Caenorhabditis elegans: one gene and its partner. The protein of the gene in region 2 interacts with the protein of the main gene of each other region in a pairwise test. Each region holds a gene or a part of one and is shown on either strand. Other genes may lie near its edges.

What was found.
Region 1: the proteins of folt-2 (region 2) and lec-2 interact in a two-hybrid assay, tested with the Caenorhabditis elegans proteins (one large-scale study listed by BioGRID).

The regions. Positions count from the first base shown.
Region 1 is NC_003280.10:10,007,408-10,020,597, forward strand, and holds lec-2 (32 kDa GBP), read right to left. Parts: upstream 8,777-13,190; 5' UTR 8,477-8,776; coding exon 8,056-8,476; intron 8,005-8,055; coding exon 5,573-8,004; intron 3,927-5,572; coding exon 3,858-3,926; intron 3,536-3,857; coding exon 3,447-3,535; intron 3,380-3,446; coding exon 3,052-3,379; intron 2,999-3,051; coding exon 2,837-2,998; intron 2,792-2,836; coding exon 2,669-2,791; intron 2,600-2,668; coding exon 2,486-2,599; 3' UTR 2,201-2,485; downstream 1-2,200. Other genes in the region: CaiB/baiF CoA-transferase family protein ZK892.4, read left to right, coding at 36-174, 223-410, 516-682; ZK892.5 (uncharacterized protein), read left to right, coding at 874-878, 938-1,037, 1,082-1,241, 1,297-1,603, 1,697-1,778, 1,822-1,908, 1,954-1,974.
Region 2 is NC_003283.11:2,868,948-2,879,800, forward strand, and holds folt-2 (Folate-like transporter 2), read right to left. Parts: upstream 6,654-10,853; 5' UTR 6,532-6,653; coding exon 6,400-6,531; intron 5,574-6,399; coding exon 5,323-5,573; intron 5,101-5,322; coding exon 4,731-5,100; intron 4,335-4,730; coding exon 3,915-4,334; intron 3,870-3,914; coding exon 3,768-3,869; 3' UTR 3,518-3,767; downstream 1-3,517. Other genes in the region: srh-241 (Serpentine Receptor, class H), read right to left, coding at 329-656; srh-243 (Serpentine Receptor, class H), read left to right, coding at 1,480-1,804, 2,414-2,832, 2,890-3,159; F37B4.10 (C2H2-type domain-containing protein), read right to left, coding at 6,860-6,965, 7,287-7,471, 7,529-7,918, 8,334-8,492, 8,542-8,562; str-39 (Seven TM Receptor), read right to left, coding at 8,857-9,355, 10,464-10,853. UniProt on the Caenorhabditis elegans protein: Unlike folt-1, does not appear to act as a folate transporter.

The DNA of each region.
Region 1 (13,190 bases), on a different chromosome or scaffold from region 2:
AACTTGCAGACTATTCTAAAACTATTCTCATTCAGGAGGCAAAGGATGCTTGTTAGACTGCTCGATGACCGAAGGTGTTGCTTATTTGTCTTCGTTTGTACAGCATTACTATGACCAACCGAACCTGTTCACTGACAAATATGCATTATTTAGTGGTGAATGTCCGATTTACAGGTCTGCCTAAAAAGCTGAATTATGATTAATATTGAAGATACTTTTCAGGACATATAAAACGAAAGATGACAAGTTTGTAGCAGTTGGAGCAGTTGAGCCGAAGTTCTATCAAAATTTGTTCAAATTATTGAATGTAGATGGACGTGACTTGTTCGTAAATCCCGGTAAAATTACAGAAGATTTGGAGAGCAGATTTCTACAAAAAACTCGTGATAAATGGGCAAACATTTTTAAAGGTAGTAGAAACTCATAGTCGATTTTCACTTTATTGAAATACCAGGGCAAAGCAAACAAAACCAAATATATGGTCTAATCTAATTTTGAACATCGCATTTCTTCAGGCCAAGAATGCTGTGTAACTCCAGTTTTGGATATTCATGAAGTCGGATCTTATGGTCAGCATGTCGACCGTAATAGTTTTACCAAAACAAGTAGTAATTGGATCGCAAATCCTTCTCCCAGAGTCTGGACGCAAGATGAGTTGGCTGCACTTTCGTCAAAGAAATGATAACTTTTTTCTATTTTTTCATCCCATAAACTTCGTTGAAAAATTGTTATCGGTTTCAGGTGTGACGTGAACTTTCACAAATTTTTCCACAAAAGAACAAATCGAATTCCACGTACTCATAAGTTTCATTAAAAAAAAGTTTATTTCAACTTTAACATTGAGACAGTGAAACGATTGACTTTCGAAACGAAATGAGGTTGGTTTCATTTAGAGCTGTTACCATCCATAGTTGGTAATATTCATAAACATTTTAAGCGATCTAAAAGAATATCCGGAAGATGCAACTGAAATCCGTGAGCTCATCGAACGTCGTCGTCACTATTTGAATGTGGTTTCTGCCACTGCAATTCTCGCAGTAAGTAATCTCTTGATTGAAGTTGAACAACAACTATTTTATAGACATTCCAATGGTGTACAACTGTCGGATGGTATATTTACCTATCGGAAGCTTATGCTCACATGGCTGATAGTTTGGTGCATATTTCATTTATGATTACTACTTGTGTGATGTTCCTGGTGATTTCCTTGGTCTATTTTTCGATTTTTACCAAAAAATGTGGTAAGTTACCTATCAGATATACAACTACTATTTTCTTATTTTATTTCGTTTTCAGCACTTCTGGTATTCCTCACTCTTCTCTACTTCGCTGCTGCTTCGCTGAAACTTTTCCAAATTGCAAACCAGCATCTGGATCCAGGATTCCGTCGTCACTTTAAGAGCACATTCACCAAATATTCCGAGTATGGCCTTTTGAGCTTGTTCTACGACTCCATCATCGTCTTCACTTCCATTATCAACTGTGCAATGTGCATTTGTGGCTCATGGCACTTCACACCACTAGTGATGGTTAAGATGAACTTTAGGAAGACAGAAGAAGAAGCGGTGGCACGGGCTCTGGGAAAATTGAAGAAGACCAAATTGTAAGTACTCTACTCTAGACACTATGAGAGCGCGTCAGTCTCATATTCTGAAGGTCGTGAGTTCGAGCCTCACCGGGAGCAAGTTTTTTGCAGGTCCAGTTGCAATATTACCAGTTCGAATGATAATTCTGCTCATAAATTGTCGCATGGAGCCAAAGGAAAACGTTTTATTTCGGTAATTCTTAATTCTGGATAATTATAACAAAGTTTTATTATAGAAGAAACACCAAAAGAAGACTGTCCAAGCTCAGATTAATGAAAATGCTGATGTCACTGTGACAACATCTGGTGCAATGGATGTGAAGGTAGGAAATGAGCAACTTTTCAAATTGGAAATATTTTGGTTTCAGGGAGAAGTGAGAGTAGCGTAGATGTTCGGATCAGGACAAGGAGATGGAAGGGCCCATTTATGTTTATGAATAAAAATATCAGTTTGTATATTTTTTGTGATCTCTCTTTGAAATCGTAGGTTATAATCCGTTCGCGGAAACTTTTTAGGGTTCCAACGAGACGGTGACCGGATCAGCTCGTGCGGTTCCGTATAAGCCATATTTATCATATTCCCTGAACATTATTGGATGAATTCTAAACGTGATTGTGGTTTTCGGATGATTTTATTCTGCAGTGTGTATTTATAAGTTTAAGATTTACAATCAAGCGAAATTTAGAATTTCACAAAGAAGCAACAGTGATTAGGGTGGTGACTAGTTGACATTTGAAAATTTTTTGAAATTTACAATTCATGTTCTTTTTTTTTTGAAAGTTGCGCGCAAAAGCGAAAGTATTTTTCTTTTAAAGTTGAAGGGGAGAGCTACTGCAGAGAAAGAGCGGTTGGGGGAACGAATTTTTGGGAGGCTTGGAGCAGAATAAAATGGGCAACATTTAGGCGAGTTGGATTCCGGTGATCTCAACGTCTCCTCCGATTTGGAGTCCATTGACCTCATCAGGACTGAGACGGTGAGCATACGATGCGAAACGTTCTCCGTTCACGGTGACCTGGAATATTGGATAATATGGAAAAGAACAACTTTTTGGTGTCTACATCTAATTTGAAAAATAACTTACAGCGAATGCGTATGGCTCGTTATGGATCTCCAAATCAAATCCAACAGCCTTCTCAAATGGCATTTTTCCTTCACGCTCCTCATTTCCCCAAGCGGAGTTGATCAACGAGTTGCGAACGACGTGCTGAAATTTTAGAGTATTACACGGATCTTCAAATCATTGATATACCTTCTCATCGAAACGAGCGTTAAGATGAAGAGCAATATCTCCGTTCTTCTTGAGAAGATTGATGTGGAATCTCTTGGCCTTCTTCTCTGGAATTCCAAAGACAGTAAGAGTCTTGCCTGGGGCAAGTCCCTCTCCGGCGAGCCCACTCTCATATGGAACTGGCTGAAATTAGTTTAGTATGAGTTACTGAGTATAATTCATCTATTTTTACTTACATAGTACTTTCCTCCCCAGTGAATGTAGTTGACAAGAACATCTCCGTCGATAGTGAAGTGTGTGATGGAGGAGAGTGGCACACGATGCTCGTACTCCTTCACCTCCTTCTGATCAACAAAGATCTGGAACTTGGAGTCATGGGCGCGGATGCGGATGTCAATGTCGTCTCCCTTCTTGTATGGGTTCGATTTGCGCTCTTCTTTGCCCCATTCTCCCTTGGAGAAGGTGTTGAAGACAAGTTTTCCTTCGTCGAAACGAACGGAAACGTGGAGTGGAACGTCGTTTCCGGAGAAATCGGCGGTGTTGGTGTGAAGGTTGACGGTGAAGCTGAATATTTTATCAGTTCACATATATTTTTTTATTGTGAATAAATAAGATGGTTCTTCATACTTACCGGATGGAATCCTCTCCAGTCTTTCCCTTCACAATAAGTGTCTGTCCTGGCTCAAATGGCTCGACGAGCTTGCTACGGTATGGAACTGGCTGAAATTCGTCCTTGTTACTCAATTTATCACTATCAATTTACGTTTTCAATCCGTCATTTTTTCACGAAATTCTGGGTTTTCACGATCAACATCACCCAAAAATGTTTATCAAGGTGATATTGACCTTGACAGGAAAAATATTTGTCGTCGTCTTCGCAACAACTAACAAACACGAATTTGTATCCCGCCCGTTTTTTTATGACTTGAGATAAAAAAGGAAAAGAAAGCCAATTAAAAATTGAGATAAATTGGGCAAAAGTGTTGACAGATAGAATGAAAAAAGAAGAAGAAAAAGATCAGATCTAAAAAATAAAACTTACGAATGCGGACTCATGGGCCATTTCAGCAAGTTTTCTTGGTTTTTTCGGTGATTCTTCCGGTTGAGTTTCCTGAAATTATAAAAAATTATGGATTAAAGTCAAGTCAGATACAGTAGAAATATTTGGAAGTGAATTGAAAAATTGGAAAAGAAAAGTTTGCAAAACTAAATTAGCTTTTTTCGCCCATTCTCTTCATCGTTTTTCTTCAGTTCAATTGAATCCATTCTTCAAATTTCGAACGAAAATGGAATGGAATTGGCAGAAAAAAGAACACAGGAAATTGAAATGGAAATGGAGAATGGGACCCATCGTTTTCCGCTTTTTAACCGTAGAGAAAATTCCGAAGGAGACGAAAAAGATTGAAAGAAAAATTGTGTATCTTTCGAATTTTTATCACTTGGATAGGAAAAGAGATAGCAGGCAGACATCAAATGTGGGAAAAAAACAAAAAGTGACTCATTTTTGATGTGTCTTTTGTTGTTCGAAATTTTCAATTTTATTATTAAATTTACTGAAACACATGAACTAGACACAGCAATCCTACTACACTATTACACATTTCTACGCAAAACTAGGTTCAATTTCCGAAAAAAGACAATAAACTGTATCTTTTCGATTTGTCAATTGAAACGAGAATTGTTTGAGAGGGAGAGAGATGATGGCAGATACCCATACGCGTGAATGATATCGGCTTTGGGCGTGCCAACATCATTCGGTTCTTTTCACACCGCGAAGAATAGCCTATGTTGTTATTTGAGAGAAAGAGAGTAAAAGCGACAGAAAAACAAAACAATTTCATCTAAAAAACAACAACGATACAATTCTGATCGATCTAGAAATCTGAAAATTTATCGGAAAAAGTAAGATGGCCAACATATAGCCTTAAAATATCAAGTATCAAACCAGGGAGGAACTCTACAGAATAGTTTATTGCAGCCTGTTGTTCCAATTTTTTTTTTTCAAAAATAGTCAACTGGCAAAATATTTTTTATTTCTTTTTCTATCGTTTTGTAATTAGTCTTTTATTGATATCTTTAAAATGAACTGACTTATGGTCTTTTAAAATTTTAAAGTTAAGCTTTTAAGCTTTAAAGTTGGATGCAACATTAAAATCCTAAAAAACTTCAGGTTATGCATTTGAACTCTGCAAAGTCCGAGGCAATTTTTTGAAAAAAGTAAACAGATTTTTGACGTGCCCGCAACCGAAGCCCTCTCGCACACTATATGTATGCAGGTGAAATTTGGACCGGTTTCAAGCCTTCCCACCCTCTTTCACTAAATTCGCCTCTACAATTACCTATAGTTTCGAGTGAAATTGAATCAACCGACAAATTTCGTAAAAGGGCGACAAATTGGTAGTTTGTGTGTGATTCATCTGAAGTGATGATGTTCGATGTATGAAACAATGACCCCTGAACTCTTATGATAGATGATGCAAGAAAGCTGTTCCTCCCACTCATAACTATGTGATGTCAAGGATGTCAAGAGGGCAGCAGGTTGAGTGAAATTTTGAAAAAGTCAGGTGTTTTCAGTGTTTGAAAGCTGCAAACACATACACAACACTTCAAAGCTAAACTAATGACAGATGGAGGAAGCGGGTTTCGAAAAAAGAAAAAATAGAAAAGTAATGAGAGATAAACTTTTTTTAATGGAAGAAGAAAAGTTCGGTAAGTTCAAATAGATTCAATAGTCAAAAATGGGAAAAAACAACTTACTGGAGCTGAAGCAACTGCGGCGACGATTTGCTTCTCGACAACGTCTTCCACAATTTCAGGCTCTGAAGAGTTATGCTCTTCAGAAGAAGGTGCCTCTTGCACTTGTGAATGCTCGACTTTTTCGAATGTCTCCTCGCTTCCAGATTCTGGTGTAGCCGTCTCGGGATGTGCGGCGTCACTGTGAACATGCACGACGTCGAATGATTCCTCGTCGACTGCTGCTTCTGGTGCAGCTTCTACTGTTCCTACGTGTTGTTGAACAACTGGTTCTTCTACTGATTGGGCGTCGGTTGGGACGGATTCAATTGATTCAACGTGATAAGCTACGGCAACTTCTTCTACTGGATTTTCTGATACTGGTGCTGATTCTGATGGGGCGGCATCTCCGGATGGGGCTGGTGCAGATTCTTCGGAGGCTACGTGAACGGATTCAATATTTTCTTCAACTGGTGCGGCAGACTCTGCTTGTGGTTCCTTATGTGATGCCTCAACTACTGTAACGGATTCTTCGTGGGCTGGTTCGGCTGTGGAAGCAGCTTCGTCTTTATGATCTTCAGCTTGTATAGATTCAGATGGAGCTGCTTCTGTTGTTGGTGCTGATTCATTTGAAGCGATATGAACAGCTTCAATAACATCTTCAACGGATGCAGCATGATCTGCTTGTGCTTCCTCGTGAGATGGTTCAGCTGCTGCGGCAGTATCCTTTTGTTCTTCAACTGGAGCTTGAGTCGAGTCAGCTGATGCGGCATCTTCAACTGGAGCTGGTGCTGATTCTGTAGAGGCTACGTGAACAGCTTCAATAACATCTTCAACTGATTCTAGCGCCGTTGGTGATGCTTCATCTTTATGTTCCTCGACTGGAGCAGTTTCTACAGACTCTGCAGCTGGAGCATCAGATTCGGCTTTTGGCTCTTCGTGAGATGAATCGGCTGCTGTGGTAGCGTCCTTGTGTTCTTCAACTGGAGCTTGAGTCGATTCTGATGGTGCGGCTTCTTCAACTGAAGCCGGTGCTGATTCTGCTGGAGCAATGTGAACAGCTTCAATGACCTCTTCAACTGGAACATCCTGAACTGGCTCAGATGGAGCTGCTTCATCCTTGTGTTCTTCAGCTAGAGCAGGAGCTGATTCGGCTGGGGCGGAATGTTCCGCAGGTGTCGATTCTGTAGAGACAATGGGAATGGCTTCAATAACATCTTGCACTGTTGTTGGCTCAGCAGGGGATGCGTCATCTTTGTGTTCATCGGCTGGAGCTTGAGTTTCAACTTGTTCAGACGTGGCTTGTGCGACATCTTCCTTGTGATCTTCGGATGTTGCTGGTGCAGACTTAGCTGATTCTACATGAGGAGCTTCAGTAACTTCCGAAGCTTGATCTTCTGCTGGAGAAGCGTCAACAACTGGAGCATCGGCATGAGTCTCAGCAGCAGAATCAATTTTGGTTTCTTCATGAACTTTGTCAGCTGGAGCAGCAGATTCAGTTGCTTCTACATGGACAGCTGTGATTGGTTCCTCTACAGACTCAGATGATGCAGCAGCCTCTCTGTGGTCCTCAGCTGGAGCATCGGATGAAGCTCCATCAACTGGATCATGAACCTCGTTCTTGTGCTCTTCAACAGTTCCCGGTGCAGCTTCAGTTGTGTTTTCATCGGATGCAACTGGAGCAGATTCGGTCAATGCAATGTGGACGGATTCAATGGCTCCTTCTACTGCTGATTCAGAAGTATGTTCGTCGGAGGCTGGAGCTGGTTCTTTCTGATCTTCAGAAGTAGCTGCAGCGGCTACTTCTTCTTTATGCTCTTCTGGAGCCGATTCATTAGCAGAAACATGAACAGCCTCGATGACTTCATCGACGACTTGAGCGGCGGTCTCCTCGACATGTGAATCATGAGCGGCTTCTGGAGCTGACTCATCTGGAGCAGCTTCTTCCTTGTGTTCATGCTCCTCAACCTTCACTATCTCCTGAGCTGGAGAAGCATCAACAACTGGTGTTTGCTCCTCAGCTGATTTTGTCTCCTCGTGAGCATCCGTAGCAGCTGGTGTTGATGCATTTTCAGCCACGTGCACAACTTCAACATGTTCCTCGATTGGAGCAGCGTCCTGTGCTTCCGATGTGGGTGCTTCTGGTGCTTGATCAACTGGAACAACATGTACAGCTTCGCCAACCTCTTCAGATACAGCTGCAGCTGGAGCAGATTCTTCTTGAATACAAGGTGGGTTGGCCGAGACAGCTTCAATAATTTGAGTGCCATCTGCAAGAACTCCTTGGAAAACGATACGAGCTTCTGGGTCAGCTTGAACAATTGAATCTTCAGTGTGAGCTGGTGCTTCAGTGTGCTCAGAAGAGTGAGATTCCTCCTTATGTTCTTCAACTGGAGCTGCAGAATCAAGAGGAGCTGCTACAGTCTCTTCCTTTTTTTCATCAGCTACTGGAGCTTCTGAAACAGTAATAGGATCAGAATTTGGAATATTCAATAAATCCGACTCACCAGCGACATCAGTAACACCTTCGACAATCTGAGTTCCATCAGCCAAAACACCCTTGACAACAACTTGAGCCTCCTTGACTTCTTCTTTAGCTTCCTGTACAGCAGTCTCTCCATCAACTCCAACATGAACAGAATCAAACTTCTCTTCAACAACAGCTTCTTCCTTCTTCTCATCACCGTTGGAAAATTGCTCAACTACGGTATCCTTCACCTCTTCCAGCTTATCAACAGCATCGGTGAAGACGTCATTGATAGCAGCTGAAGCATTTTGAACGGCTTCTTGAATAGCTGAATCTTTGGCATCCTTAGCATCGGAAGCAGTGTCGGCATCGACAGGCTTATCCTCTGTGTTCTTAGCGAACGGAATAAGATTCTTCGCTGAGCTGAAGGCCGATGAGAAGAATGATGACGAATCGGCCATGATTAGCACAAAAAGTCAACGAAATGAGAAGAGGTTGTAGAAAATAGCAGGGAAATACAAGACACACACCTCTTTGCAGGCTTGGAGTGTGTCGGAATGAGTCTGAAAGTGCACACCAGGCCAATCTCAACGAAGGAGGCACTCTCGTTCTCTACTCGTCTCTCTCGAGCCAGCACTATTTCAACATTGTGATGATGGGAGTGGCCTAGGATGGGCGTGGCGTAGGTTCGGAAGGGTTTGAGAGGTTTTGAGGCGCCGCGCCAAAGAGACGCATACAGGTGTACGAGTATTGACTGATCTGCACGCGCACCGCGCTGCTGCCTGAGGACGCCTCTATCTTCCCCTCTCTTCATTTGTCGTTCCATTCGTTTCTGCCAAATGAACTGGGGGCACAAAAAAAGAAACACGGGGCGCCGCGCACGCGTGTGCCGTCTGCAAAAAAACGGCTGGCAATTCGGGAAATAGTGTGAGACAACAAGATACAGCTAGACGAAACTGATATGGGTAGAGATACAGAGAGATAGAAGAGAAAGGAGGTGAAGCCCGGGGGAAGCCGATGTGCGGCAAACAGAAAGAGTGCAATGCAACCCACCAGATTTGGAGATTTGGTAAGAGAGCCTGCTGATTTTTCAGGTGTCCAAGTGACGCACGTCAGACTCACCATAAGAACTCTAGAATTTGAAGAAGAAAATATTCGTTGCAAAATATTCCGGAACATTTGTTAGTCGTTCGTATGATAGAGAGAAAAGAAGGGGAAACTATGAAATTTCTGATTTGAATGTACACTTGATTTGCATAATGGTGTAACAATGAAATCTGAATTTTCTTCAAAAAGAATGAGAGTTAGTGCACAAAATTAGAGAGAGCTACTCATGAAAAGAAGCTCATCGTGAATTAGGTCTGGATATCTGGATATAGAAGAATTCAATTCAAAATCTAGGTATACAATGTCTCCTCAATTTTTTATGCCGTGGCATCGTTTATCCCCAATTTTTTATCCGCATTTCCTGCTGGCAAGTCTAAATCCCCCTTCATGTAAATCATGTATTTCCGGTGTTTCCTGAAGAACGGGGCTCTCAACGGAAAGGATTATATATGTTACATGATCTTGAACAAGGGAAATGTCTATTGATCTATGTATTGTTTGAATCGAATGCACTCGTATTTTGATGTGTCATTTTCAAATTTTGAATGTTTACACGACGCAATCAGCTGGTGCTGGCTTCCGGGGTGATAAGAGGTTCGTGGTCTTCCCCCTCCTGATGTCAATAAAATTGGATGCCAAATCACATGCTCATGTGGTTTTTTGCCTATTAATTTTTACATTCCGAACTTTTGCAGGAGGGAGTCACACACACGTCGTATGATCCGAAGTTACACAATCGACGGTCCGTACAAACAATTATCAGATGCTCCTATAGGCGCCCACCCATCGGCCGCCACTACTCTAATGTTGACCTTTCGTCAGTCAGGAGCTCTCCCCTCTAACAATTGAACACTAATACAAATAAAATGAAGGTAAATGTAATTAGAACTTGATAAAGTTGCACTGTCAATATTAGAAGGTTTAAAGAAAGTTTTACTTCAGACTTACTTTTGTCTTCCATGACTTTTCTTGGGTTTTGCTTTCATGAAATAGTGAGCGAATACGGTAGGACTTTCGGAAAAATTGATTCATAATGTTGGATCATCAAATCAAATGATACTCATTTGATCAAGAACCCGCGAGACTTAACTTATACTAACTATTTACCCATCTGTCATGTGACTGTGCCAGTATTTATTTATAAATTTCTGTATGCATTCCACAGGACAACCTGAACACTTCCTATCTTCTCTTATCCATTTTCTCTCTGATTTCACTTTTCAATGGGGGTTATGACAGAACTGAACACACCACATGTTTCGTTTTTAGAAAAAAAAAGTTTGCAGCATGAAATGGGTGAAAAAAGGCGGAAACATTCTCATGAAATAGTTTAGTTTACATCGTTGTTTCGACGCCTCGGATTTCAAGATGTGCTTGGTTTGAAGCGGGCCAAAGATGAGAAGAGTGGGTGATGATGATGAACATGTGGTGGTAATGAAATGGGAGAAAAAAAAAGCTTAAAGTGAAAATGAGGAGGACGACATGAGAGAAGAGCCACTTTTTTCTTGAAATTTGAAAGAAAGTTTCACAAAGTAATATGACAGGAGAGTTCGTGAGAAGGATGTGGAGGGGAGTAAAGAGCTAAAAATACAAACTGTTCTTGAATTTCGTACAGATCTGAATACATGAAAAGTCTTTTCTTGAGTTTAAGAGAACACAACATGTTGTGAATCTTGTTCAAGGGATCCATTTTACCGCAATGTTATTCATTTCTCGATTTTAATCGTGATGGATCAAGAGTCTTCAGCTATACCATGCCTCTGTCAGTCTGGTAGGCCTTTTTGCGCCTACCCAGGCCTTAGATACTTCTATCTACCCTGAACACCCGCTCCCAACCAACTTCCCGAAACATCATTCTTACTTCGATTCCTTACTTGGCACCTGCTCTTTTCCATATTTGCCTTTCAATATATTATAACCTTTTTCTCTCCAACACCTGCGCACTAATTTCTTTCAAATATTATTTTAATGTTCAAAATTCACAATTCAAAGAACTATACCATATTCTATAAATGTGTCTTGGTGCAACTACAACAATCGTCCGAGTACAGAGCAGGAGCCTCCAGTTTTTCTTCCTGCTTCTCTGGTTCAAAACTCATGACCTTTGGCTAAATATTTGCACAATCATCATCCTGAATCTCCCAAAACTTTCCAATCACACACCTTTAACCCACACAGATGATGTTCACTTTGGAGGGAAACAGATCTAAATTGTTCAAAAATCAAATTTACTTTTATTTATATACATGTATGTGTGTGCGTTAGTGTCTATATTTACTTGTCACCTGCAGATACTTATGAGGGATCATCCATTTAGGTATGGTTAAACGAAAGTCTGTCTGTGCGTTTGTTTGTCCGAATTGTTTAGCCTACTAGGCCAGGTCATCTTGTAGGTACATAAACATACCTACCTGGCACGTGCCTACTAAACATTGTTAAAGTTTTAAATTACACTTATAAGTAACTTCCTGCCACACTTTGGCAACTTATTTAGTGCCACTAAAATAAGTTGCCGAATTGCTGGCAGGAAGTTGCCGAGTTGTTGGCAGGAAGTTGCCGCGTAGTGGCAGCAAGTGGGAAAAAACGCTCCTCGGCATTCAGAGGCAACTTTCTGCCATTTTATGGCAACTTTCTGCCAAACTTTGATTACTTGCAACTTCCTGCCAAACTTTTGCACATTCCTGCCAACATTTAGATGTTGCTGAGCGTTTTTTCCCACTTGCTGCCACTACGTGACAACTTCCTGCCAACAACTCGGCAACTTCCTGCCAGCAATTCGGCAACTTATTTTAGTGGCACTAAATAAGCTGCCAAAGTGTGGCAGGAAGTTGCCTTTGAATGCCGAGTAAGTAAGGAAAGTAAGGAAAATCAAGAACCCCATAATCTTAAGCTGTACAGTAGGCACGTAGGTAGGCTGGCTTCATCTTTTTTCAAAAAATATGCTGTATGTGCTTTTAATGGTAAATGTGTGTTTGCCATTGTCAAGCAAACTTGGTGAAAAAAGGGAAAACCGTTAATCCGTTTAGATTGTTCAATTGTGGTTTTTTTTTGGAAAGTTGTGAAATTATGTCATGACCGTCATCATCATGAACATCTCTTTATGTCGTCACCTTTCATCTTTCTCAATTTCAAACATTTCATTCAGTTAGGGGGATCGAATTATTTGTCTAGCTGTACTGCTACCTTTCTACCAGGGAGTTCTTTTCGATGATAAAAAAAGTGTCTTTCTACATCTGACTCGTGAGTCTCATGACATGACACGGTCAGTAAAACCACAAAACCTTACAAAAAAGGGCGAAAATCGAGTGTTATTTATCATCTACCACGGGTCATATGGTCGGTTTTTCTTTGACATTCCAGCAGAAACAACCTCAGCCAAACAAAAAAAAATAAAAATTTACACTAGCTGTCCCGAGAGAAAGGTTATATTTGGAGAAACGATAAGAACCCAAACGGAACGTGACAATGTTTCATTTGATTTAATTCGGAGTGATAGGTAGTTTTTTGGTGGAATTCCAAATTCGATAGACAATACTGAACAACATTTGAAATTTATGTCAGATTTCGAGACAGTGGGAACAATGATTTATGGTATAGTTGATATAGAGAATGTCAAAATGCCGACAAAATAATTGTAGTTTAAAGGGATTGACAATACGGTGTAGCTGAAGTTTCCATTTTTTGAAAGCCAAAAAGGCATGAAATTAAAACAGCTTCGACCTTGTACAATTACCTAAAATAACGTCGAAACTCTGCAGATTACAGGTATGTATGAATTAATTTGGAAGGTGGGCACACGTTCCGGTCGCCTAAAAGGTAGGGATGTTTCTGCAGGGATGAAACTGAAACTGATTTTATGAGATTTCAGATTCATCACCAATCAGGGCTGAGCAGCCGCCCAAAAAAATCGGCGATCGGCGATTGCCGATCGCGGAAACTTTTTTTTTTTCGGCGATCGGCGATCACAAATTGCCAAAAAAAAAATCGGCGATCGCCGATTGCCGATTGCCGATCAGTGTGCGTCTAATTTTTTTCAATTTTAAAATCCTAATTTTAAGAGCTCTTTCA
Region 2 (10,853 bases):
AAAAAAATCAAAAAATTTTCAAAATTTTTTATTTAAAAAAATATTGTTTTTATTTTCAATTTCAAAATTTTGCAACAAAAAAAGGCTGAATTGAAAATCGATACTTTAAAATTACAAAAAATGTCACTTTTTCCGCGGAAAAATGTCTCATTTGTGACAAGTTATGTTTTACAATATGAACGATAAAAAATGAATAAAACAACCAATCAGTATTGCCAGAAAACTCATTAGTGTCGAAAATGACGTCACTCGTTACTCACAATCAGAAAAATCATTAAAATTTGAAAAAAAAAATCTTACAGTTATATTCAAAAAATTTTAAACTAACCCGCAATAAATGTCACCATCAGATAAACCAATATTTGCGGAGAATCCAGAAGTCCAAGCCCATAACCAGCGGGCGCAGGCAGTAAAATGTATGGTAGACCAACAAAACTAATCACAAGATCCGACAAACAACTCCAAAAGTGCAAGTTTAACATGAGCAACTTCACAGATTTCATTCTGCTCGGAGTTTTGTACAAAATGCAATAAGCACCGTATGATAGAACGGGAATTTCAAGAAATGTTAGACAGTGTAAGGTAAATGAAATAAAATTAGGACTTGACAAATATCTGGTATCTGGAATTCCAGCACCTGATATGCAGTTCTGCATATTGATTTGAAAATTTTTTGATTAAAAGTTTGAAAAGATGTTAGGCAACCGAGTGAGTAGGGTTAGTCAAGCGGAATAAATTTTCTTGGGTTATCTTTTGATAATGAAGTTTTAAAGTTTTGTGTAATATGTGGCAAAGTCTATGAACTTTTTTGATATTATTTGATTTTTATTTTAAATGATATTTTTGATTTAATATTTGTTTCTACAATAGTGCCAAAATGACCAAATATCAAACTTATCAAACAACTTTTGAAATTTTTTTTTGACTGTCAAAAAGTGGCAATTACTGTTTTTTTGCCACTTTTTCTGAGAAAACCATATCACTGTCGCATGTCCTATCCATAAAATTTTTGACTATCGATATGTGAAACATACCATTCGGTGTCAAATTTTCCAAAAATTGAAATTTTTCCGAGCAATTTCGAGCATTGCTGGAGGTAGTTAGGAAAAGTAGTTAGAAAAGTTTTCCCGCTAAAGACACTTCACCTGTACATGTAAGGTGTTCAATCACAAAAAAACAATCATAATATAATTTTTAACATTATTTCTAGAATTCTGTTCACTAATGTGTCTAGTTCGTGTTCACGCCGCCAAAAGCAAATTTTTCGTAGAAAAAGTTAATTTAGCCCGATTGTCAACACAACCGATTCTGCGTTAACAAAAAATTCTCCCACTAGGTATAAAACGTACATATTAATATTTTCTTGAAAAACACGTGTGTCATAATGCTAATTGGAAAACATATTTAACACGTTTTTATTAAAGAAGAAACATTTTTAAAGAAAGAGAAAAACTTATTTTCTAGCTTGGTTTTCAGAAAATGAATAACTGCTCGATATCACCGTTTATTGATTCGAGTTATCTAGCATCTCCGAATTTTGTGGCATTTTCTTGTCACATTATAACTATAATTGAAATCCCACTTTCAATATATGGTGCGTATTGCATTTTATTCCAAACTCCTGCCAAGATGAAGCCTGTGCAGTTTTTGATTCTAAATTTACACTTTTGGAATACGCTATCTGATTTGTTTCTATGCTTTATTGGTATTCCATTCTTATATTTGCCTTCAATTTCTGGGTTCGACCTGGGCTTACTTGAATCGCCAGCAGTTACATTTTACGTAGGAGTTACGCTTGTTTTAGGTTAGTTTAATAACATTCAAAAATTTTTAATGTAATGAAGTCAGGGGAGTGCTGCGATTGCCGTTCGGCAATTTTTTCGGCCGACAAATCGGCAAAGTGCCGGTTTGCCGATTTGCTGATCTGCCAAAAATTTTGTTTTTGGCAAATTGCCAATTTTCCGTATGCCGGTTTCCCGAATTGCCGTAATTTTTTATTTTTGGCAAATTGCCGATTCACCATTTGCCGGATAATATATTTGCTGGAAGTGTTTGGCGGGATTATTTTATGAGACGGAAACAATTAAAACTGCGTTTTTTTTTTTGGAATTTTTTCCCGTTTTTTAAAAGATAATTTCATAGAATTTGCTAACTTTTCGAAACAAATGTAGGAACATTCATAAGATGCATAAAATTTTGCCGATTGAAATTGAAATTCTGAAGTTTCCAAAAAATATGCAAATATACAATTTGCCGAAAATGTTTGGGCAAAATCGCCAAATTGGCAATTTGCCGGTTTATCGATTTGCCGAATATTTCAATTCCGGCAATTTGCCGACTTGCCGATTTGCCGGAAAAAATCGTTTGCCTTTTTAAAAATATAGTTTTCCACTGAATTTACACAATTTTTCAGCTATGATTGCCGCCGTCCTCTCAATTTACGAAAATCGATTTTACAAACTGTTTGCCCATAAAACCACATGGAAACATATCAGAAAAGCCTACCTCATCGCTGTCTATACTTCAATACCTTTTATATTTCTACCACCATTCCTAACTATTCCCGAGCAAGAAACTGCTCAAAGCTTTATCTTGGCTAAACTTCCTTGTTTGCCAAAATTTACATTTAACGATGAAGAGCTCTTTGTGTTGAGCATTAGTCCTGTAATACCACTACTTTGCATTGCATTTGCATCCTTATTTTTGGCTGTTCCAATTATTACATTTTTCTCGATGACACTTTATCACTTGTTAACCAAAAAAAAGTTGGTCACACTTTCCGCAAAGACATTGGCAATTCATAGAAAATTTCTCAAGTCGGTTAGTATTCAGGTGAGTATTGCTCTGTTTTAGGTGATTATATCTTTTTTAAAAGTTAATTTTTTTCAGTCAATATCTACAGCTGGAATTGTGTTGGTACCTCTTACAACTTTTATTTGCTTTATGATGTTTTGGTACCACAACCAAAAATTGAACAATTTGGGATACTTGGTCTTGTCACTACATGGAAGTGTGTCTACGATTGTAATGATATTGGTTCACAAGCCGTATCGAGATTTTACATTTTCATTGTGTTGGAAACCGCAAAGAAATTCTCCTACTATAATAGTGACAGATAAAAGCAATCAATTACAAAATTCTTTTAACGTTGTCGTATGAATGAACGTTATTACATTAGCCAAATTCACAACTTTTATTCTTTTCTCCATCTTTTCTCAATGATTATCCCTTTTGAAATTTTCATTTTTCGCACTCCATCGACAGTCGCCTGCCGGACAACGCGTGAGAAAGTCGTGCACTCCACCCGGACAAATACTTTTAGTCTTACAACTAAACCCGAGCCGTGACGCGACACGCAACGCGCCGTAAATCTACTCCAGATCTGGCCGAGCCAAAATGGCCAGAAATCCGTGAATTTTTCTCGATATTTTTACACATACACAGCAGCCGACATTTTACGAGTCTGTTATTTTAATTAATTGAAAATGCAGAAGTTCACAGAAAATGTAGACTTTATATCGCCCTCTCTGTAGTCAAATTATACTAGAAATTGTAGAAGGTCAAAACATTTTTAAAGGGATGTACTTTAATATTTTATGTTTTGATAAAAGTTCCAATTAGATCACAAAATTTGCGAAATGTAACATTAAAAACATGTGTTTTGTTCTGATATTAGAAAAAATGAGTTCCGCGTCAAAATATTTCCTCATTTCATCCATAATAGTGTTCCCAAATTTTAGATATATTATAGTATAGTTAACAAAAAATCAATTAGTACTCGTTTTGAAAAACCGCCTGCTCGCCCAAATTCCAAAAATAATAGCAAATCCAAATGCAACGACAAGATGATAACATGAATAGACCACAAACTGAAAAAAACTGTTTCTTAAATTTTTCAGATACTCAAAACAAACCTGTGGCCTAATATCCAGCTTCTGCCAATCTATGACAACAGCGGTCAGAATAGATTGAAGAAGGAGAGCAACAAATGTGTTAATCCCGAAGAGTAGGCCAAATAGTCTAGAGTCCAGGGAAAAGGCCAGTGTAGACTGAGCAATCGTAGTGGTCAACTGGTATATGACTCTATAGAATATGTAACTCAGGTATAACACCACGATATGATGAGATTGTGACATCCAAAAAAGTAGGCCGGCTTGTCCGATGGAGCCAACAGCAAGGAGAAGGTCTCCCCATCGGTTCCAATTCACGTTGAGCTGGCGGGTGATCAGGTCAGCTGGGATGCCAAGAAGTGGGACGAGGGCTTCGGTGATACCATTATAACGATTCGCAGACTCCGGAAGTGTACCCCATAAAGTTTGGGTGTAGTTTGTGACCTGGAATTTGAGAAATATATAAGGAACTTAAAGCATAAGCTTTGAGATCAAGCTTTAAGCTTTGTGTTTAAGCTTAAACCTTCAAGCTTCCAGCAAGTCTATATAATCTTATTGAGTTGTCAAAATATCATATGTTTTCTGAACATTTTCCCAAAAAATGAAGCCGAAAGTTAGCAGAATATTAAACAAGAATTTGCCGAACTAGGCCGTTTTGACTCGGCCAAGACCGGGGTAGATTTACGGCGCGTTGCATGTCGCGTAGCGGCTCGGTTTTAATTGTAAAACTAAGTGTATTTGTCCGTGTGGAGTACACGACTTTCCCACGCACTGTTCGGCAGGCGATTGTCAATGGAGCGCGAAAAATGCAATGATAATTGCCAGAACCCCGTGATGTACCTGATAAAAAATGCAACTCGAAAGAGCCGACCAAACAGACCACTTCAAAATCAGCGGATTGCGATAAATCGCCATTAAATTATGCCGCAACCCGACAAAGAACATCCTAAGGTAATCCATATAACTTGACTGATCAACGATTTCTTTTAAATTGCCTTGAACATTATTATCTTCCAGCTTCTTCTCATAAGCTTCCTTCCACTCAACACCAGGTAATATTAATGCCAGGAATACCGCAATTGTCATGGCGACCAAACTGATAATATTAAGAGTTGAATACGATGTCCAGTTAAGGCCAATGAGGAGTTGAGCTAGAGCATAAGCTAGAAATCGACCGACGAGGAGTGCTGCTCTTGTAAAAGCGGTTGCTCTGAAAATTTAGAAATTGGAAGATCTAGGTACATACTTTTAATAGAGCACGTGGTGTCCGCGTGTCCCATTTCGGTTTCATCTATGTAGATCTACAAAAAATGCGGGAGAAGAGACGAAGAGTTCTCAACTGAATTTGCATAGTTTGGACTAAAAATACCCGCATTTTTTTTAGATCAAACCATAATGGGACGCCCCTGGCACCAAGTGTACAAGACCTTACGATTTATACTCGGTTTTTGGAACTTTCACATAAATATACGCGAAATACGCAATTTCCGTTGCAGTAGCCCATCCATAGAACACTTCAAGAACTTGCTGACTCCAGACACTCTTTCCAAATACAAATATGACCCAGCACAGAAAATAGGAAAACGCTTCGAAAACTAGCAAAGGCTTATATAAAAATACATCGGTGAGTAGGAACGCTGGTATCAGGGTGATCAAGTAGCTGTACGTCCAAATAGGGTACACCTGAAATAAATTTCAACTAATAAAAAGTTAAGCATTTTTCATGAATATTTAGAAAAATTGGAATTTTGCGAAGCGCTGTATAAAGATCGTTGGAAAAAATTCGGTGTCTACTGACGGGGGTTCGAGTAAGAAAAAAAATAGTTTTTCGAAATTTTGGAAAACTTTTTTGAATTCACTAACTTTGTTTAAACAAATGTTACATGGGTGGGCGGCGAACGATTTTTTTTTGGCAAATCGGGAAATTGGCGAATTGCCGGAATTGAATGTTTCTGGCAAATCGGCAAGTTTCAGGAATTGCAAATTTCTGGCAAATCGGCAAACCGGCAAGTTGCCGATTTGCCAATTTGCCTTGAAAACGGCAATTGCCGAACAGTTTTGGCAAATTTTGGTTTTGCACATTTTTTTAGAAATTTTCTGGATTTAATTTTCAATCGGCAAAATTGTACTCATCCTTTGAATGTTCCTACATCTATTTTTAAAAGTAAGCAAATTCTATGAAAATTTTTAAAGAAGACGGGAAAATTTTCAAAAAGACTCAGTTCTAAGGGTTTCCGTCTTATAAAAAAAATCCTCTAAACATATCCGGCAAACGTCAAGCCGGCGATTTGCCGGAATTGGAAATTTCTGGCAAATAGGCAAACCGGCAATTTTCCGAAATTAAAAATTTACGGCAAATCGGCAAACCGGCAATTTGTCGATTGCTTCTAGTAATTTCTAGAAAAAATTCCCTAATGTTTTTTTTTTAAATTTTTTAAATTTTTGTATTAATAAAAACAGTAATTTACAATTTTCATAAAATTCGACAGAGTTTTTTATTCAAAATTACCTGACTATTCAAAGTCTGCTCTGACATATTCAGAACTGTATGCTGATATTCATACATGTACGGTTCGGTGGGCCGGAACTCTTTTACAGCTCCATACATACAAATCAGGACCATCACTTTCCATTGCTCCATTGTACCGGCGAAATTTTCCAGGAATTAAAAGAAAAAACCACAAAAGTGTGAAAAAAAATGTGTTAGACTATGCTGACTTTTACTGATAAGACCGATTAATGTGCAGTTTTTCGAATGATAGTATTTTTTTTGGGAATTTAGAAATTTATACTTTTTTTTTACACAGGCGCGCCTAAATTTATGACGTTTCCCCCGAAAATTAAATCAAGGCGTACAAAAAATCCAACTGATAAAATATCACTGACCAATTGATCAGACATCGAAAAATGAACGCTGAAATTGGTAAGTGAACAAATTTTATTAAACAACAAAATCTTCATAAATTAGTTTATTGGAAAGTTCCAAGTCCTCCCTCTTGTATGATCCATTGTCTGATATCGCAAAGCTCCTTCATTAGCTGAGTTTTACCGTTTGGTCTCTCTTTGCCAAATCGTCTGAAAATTTTAAAAAAATTGAACGCAGATTTTCTCAGCAAAAAAAATGTTTAAAAGCTACAAAAATTTCGAGAAAACTTCCAAATTTGTTTAACCAAAATTTAGGCTGACGCTCGCCACTGACGCCAAGCCTACGTCAAAGCCTGAGGCTAATCCGAAGTTTAGGCTTGAGCCTAAGCTTAAGCCCAAACCTAAGTCTGAGCCTGAGCTCAAGTCTGAGCCGAAGCCGAAACCAAAGCCTAAACCTTAGCCGAAGTTCAAGCCTAAGCCTAAACTTAAGCCCTTAAGCCAAATATCCCAAATTGATAATATTAAACATACCTATACCACATTTCTGCGACCCGATCCTCGCCGGGTGTATGTTTCCAGTTACAAGTGTGGAAAGATTTTTGATACTTCAAACACACAATACAGTATACAGGTTTATGTGGTCGAACAAATCCAAGCTGCTTCATCGGTTTTAGTCGATCCAGAAATTCGTCGATGATTTCGATTAGCTTTAGGGGCTGAAAATATTTACAATTAGGAAAAGTGTTGTTTATTCAAAAAATGTTCAAACTTACAGTAACTGCTGTCTGATTTTGATACTCCTGAGCATCAAATTGAGCCTGATCGTTGCCATTTTGCAAAGATGAATCTGATCCTGCATCGTTTTCAACTAGATCGGGCGAGAAACGATTTAATGGCCCATCTGCAGTACTTGGCATGCTCACCGGCATAATATTTGCTTTGATTTGCAAACTTTCGTGATCCCTTTGCTGATCTTCAAAGCCGTTAAGCTGGAGATGCTCTGGAACTCGAGCCGGTGGACAAAAGTCCGGAAGTCGTGCGGGAACTGGTGCTACATTCACAGTTGGAACCTCAACTTCGCGGACTTCTAGAACAGGTTCACGTTTGACTGCCCGCAGAGCATTGGGATTGTGTAACGACTCGCTTGTAATTTCCATGGATTCCTGAAAAAAATTATGATCAGATTTTTTTTGAAATTGTGGAAACACTAATTTTTTTCGCTAAATAACATAATACAGTCTCAATATATCAAATACACATGTTTAAAATATTTGTAGAATTTTTCTTAATTTTTCTATTTTTTTTTCAAATTTAACAATTAGAAAGTGCCCTTGATCTACCATTTGAAACATAGTTTTAAATTTTTCAGACATTTTTCCAAAAACTGACTAAAGAGTTACAAAAAACAAAAATGTTCTTTTATTTAAAAACGTCTGAAAACAAGACAAATTATGTTTTAAATAATAAATCAAAGAATAATTAATTATCGATTTTTGAGCAAGTCGCAGCAGTTTCTTGTAGGGGGAATTTTCATTTGAGCGGGAAAAAAATAAAATTTGAATTGAAAAAAAACCATACCTCTCTGGCAAGTTCTCGAGCTCTTTTCCGGTTCACTGCTCGCCGATTCATCACAAATTCTCCATATTCCAATATCATCAAGTGATTCATCATTACGTGCATATTCATATCAAGTTCTGAGCTGAATTTGTCGCCGCATCCATTCCATCCGCATTTTATCTGTAACAAAGATTTGATTTAAAAAAAACCAAAAATAGAATATACTTACATTTTGAGAACTAGAAGACATTACTAAAAATGATGTTCCAAAAGAATCGATGGTGTTCACCCTTTTTGTAAATTTCTCTAAACACTCCACCTTCTCTCTCGCGTAGCAATGGAGCGCGTTTATGACTGGTAAGTTCTGGTAAACCATACACGGTTGTGCTCCTGAATACGCAGCCGCCTTGGAATTATGTAGTGTGACGTCACATGCGGTTTGTGATACAATTTTTGCAGGAAAACATTATAAAAATGGACAGTAGACGTTCGGCAAATATTTAAGAATTTTATTTGGAATTTTTTCAAGTATACATAAACATTTTCAAATAGTTAAACATTGCGAATTCTGAACATGATTTTTCTTGCCAAAGCAATTGCAAAGTGTAGCCAGATGTTTTCTGTACTCAGTTACAATTAACATAAACAGTATACTATCGATAAATGGGTAGATCCCCAATAATGCACAAATAACTCCAGATTTGAAAGACATCTTCAAATCAAACAACGGGCCTAGCAAAAGTGGCATTGCTGGCAAAACGAAAGTTATGGTCGGGACCGTAACTTGAACAACCAACGCCTTGAAAAATTGCTGTTGAAGTTTTCGATTGGCGACAGAAAACTTTTGCAGCTCTTTCTGCATTTGAAAATGCATTTGAAGCCCGCAATACACAATTATTAGGTATTGAGAAGAGAGTAGAAATGTTCCAATGCAAAGGTATAGCACATTATTGATTCTTACGTTGCCATTTTGATCATAAGGAACTATGAGTAGTCGTGGGAGGGTAGAAATATCTAATTCGTATACTTCAAATATTTCATTTCTGAAAAAAAACCACGAAATTGGTTTTTGGTTTATTTGATTTTTTTAAAACAAACCAGAAGCTATAGAGAAACAAATTTAAAAAAATAATCCGTTGCTCATGATTTTTTTCCAGGTTTATCCATGTTTTACGATTAGTTGTTTAAAATTATTTCGCGGGATGTGCGGCAAAATTGCCAAATTTGCCGATTTTGTCGAGCTCGGCCAATTTTAAGATTTGCCGAACACCTCTTGTTGACACCTCGCGAGCCAATTTTAGCAAGCTATTTAAAACTCCTGTAGCTCAAGAAAAAGGAACTTTAGCAAATAATTTTTCATTGACCCTATTCAATAGTATTTTTCTTGAGTAGTATAATTGAGCAAAAAGTTAAAAAAAAAATGTTCTTGCGCCATTTTTGGAAGTTGCGCTCGGTCAGCACTACTCTAGAAAAAATAAGTTATTAATATAAACAAAGAAAATTCTTTACGAAAAATGGGCAAATCGGCAAATTGCCGGTATTGAAAATTTCCGGCAAGCCGACAAAGCGGCAAATTGCCGGCAATTTTCGGCAAATTGTGGTTTTGCACTTTTTTTTTGAAATTTCTGAATTTCAATTTCAACCGGCGTGTTGTACTCACCCTATGACTGTTCCTAAATCTATTTTGAAAAATGTGTACTCACCCTATGAAAATTGTACTCACCCTATGACTGTTCCTAAATCTATTTTGAAAAAGTAAGCAAATTCTATGAAAATACCTAAAGAAAACGGGAAAAAATGTTCAAAAAGGCACAGTTTTAAGTGTTTCTGTCTGATAAAAATCCCTTTAAACATTTCCGGCAAATCGGCAATGTGCCGAAAATGAAAAATCCCGGCAAATCGGCAAACCGGCAATATACCGAAAATGAAAAATTCCGGCAAATCGGCAAACCGGCAAATTGCCGGAGTTCAAAATTTCCGATTGACCGAATTTATCGACAAAAAAAATTCCGAAAGGGCCCTGCCGAGTTACACCTCGCGAGGTGTCGGCCGCTTTTTAATTGAAATTTTTAGAATATTGAAAAGTATTCAAACTTGTAGACATCACCATAGTTTTACACAATTTTTTCTGTCAAATTTCCTAAAGCTTACCTCATATAATCATCTGAAAATTCATCGGGTCGTGTCAAACACCAGATCGCTGCTCCGTTCACAGACCCGATGAAAACCGGATACATGCTCCAAGCTATAGCTCCATAATTTTCAAACAATTTTGTCAAGTCGGGATTAAATAGGGATACATATCGAAATGCAAATTGAACAGCTAAAAATGTTACGACGACGGCGTAAATTGTCACATATACCACTAAAGATATTGTGACGACATCTTTGGGGATTTTAAACCAACTTTCTCCAAGGCTAAAATACATCAACCCTTTATTATAATTATGAATAAACGGTTTGGCAATTCGCTCAACAATTGAAAAAATGATTCCCAAACCCGCAAATAAGATTATCATTTTTTTATAAGAACCGACGATT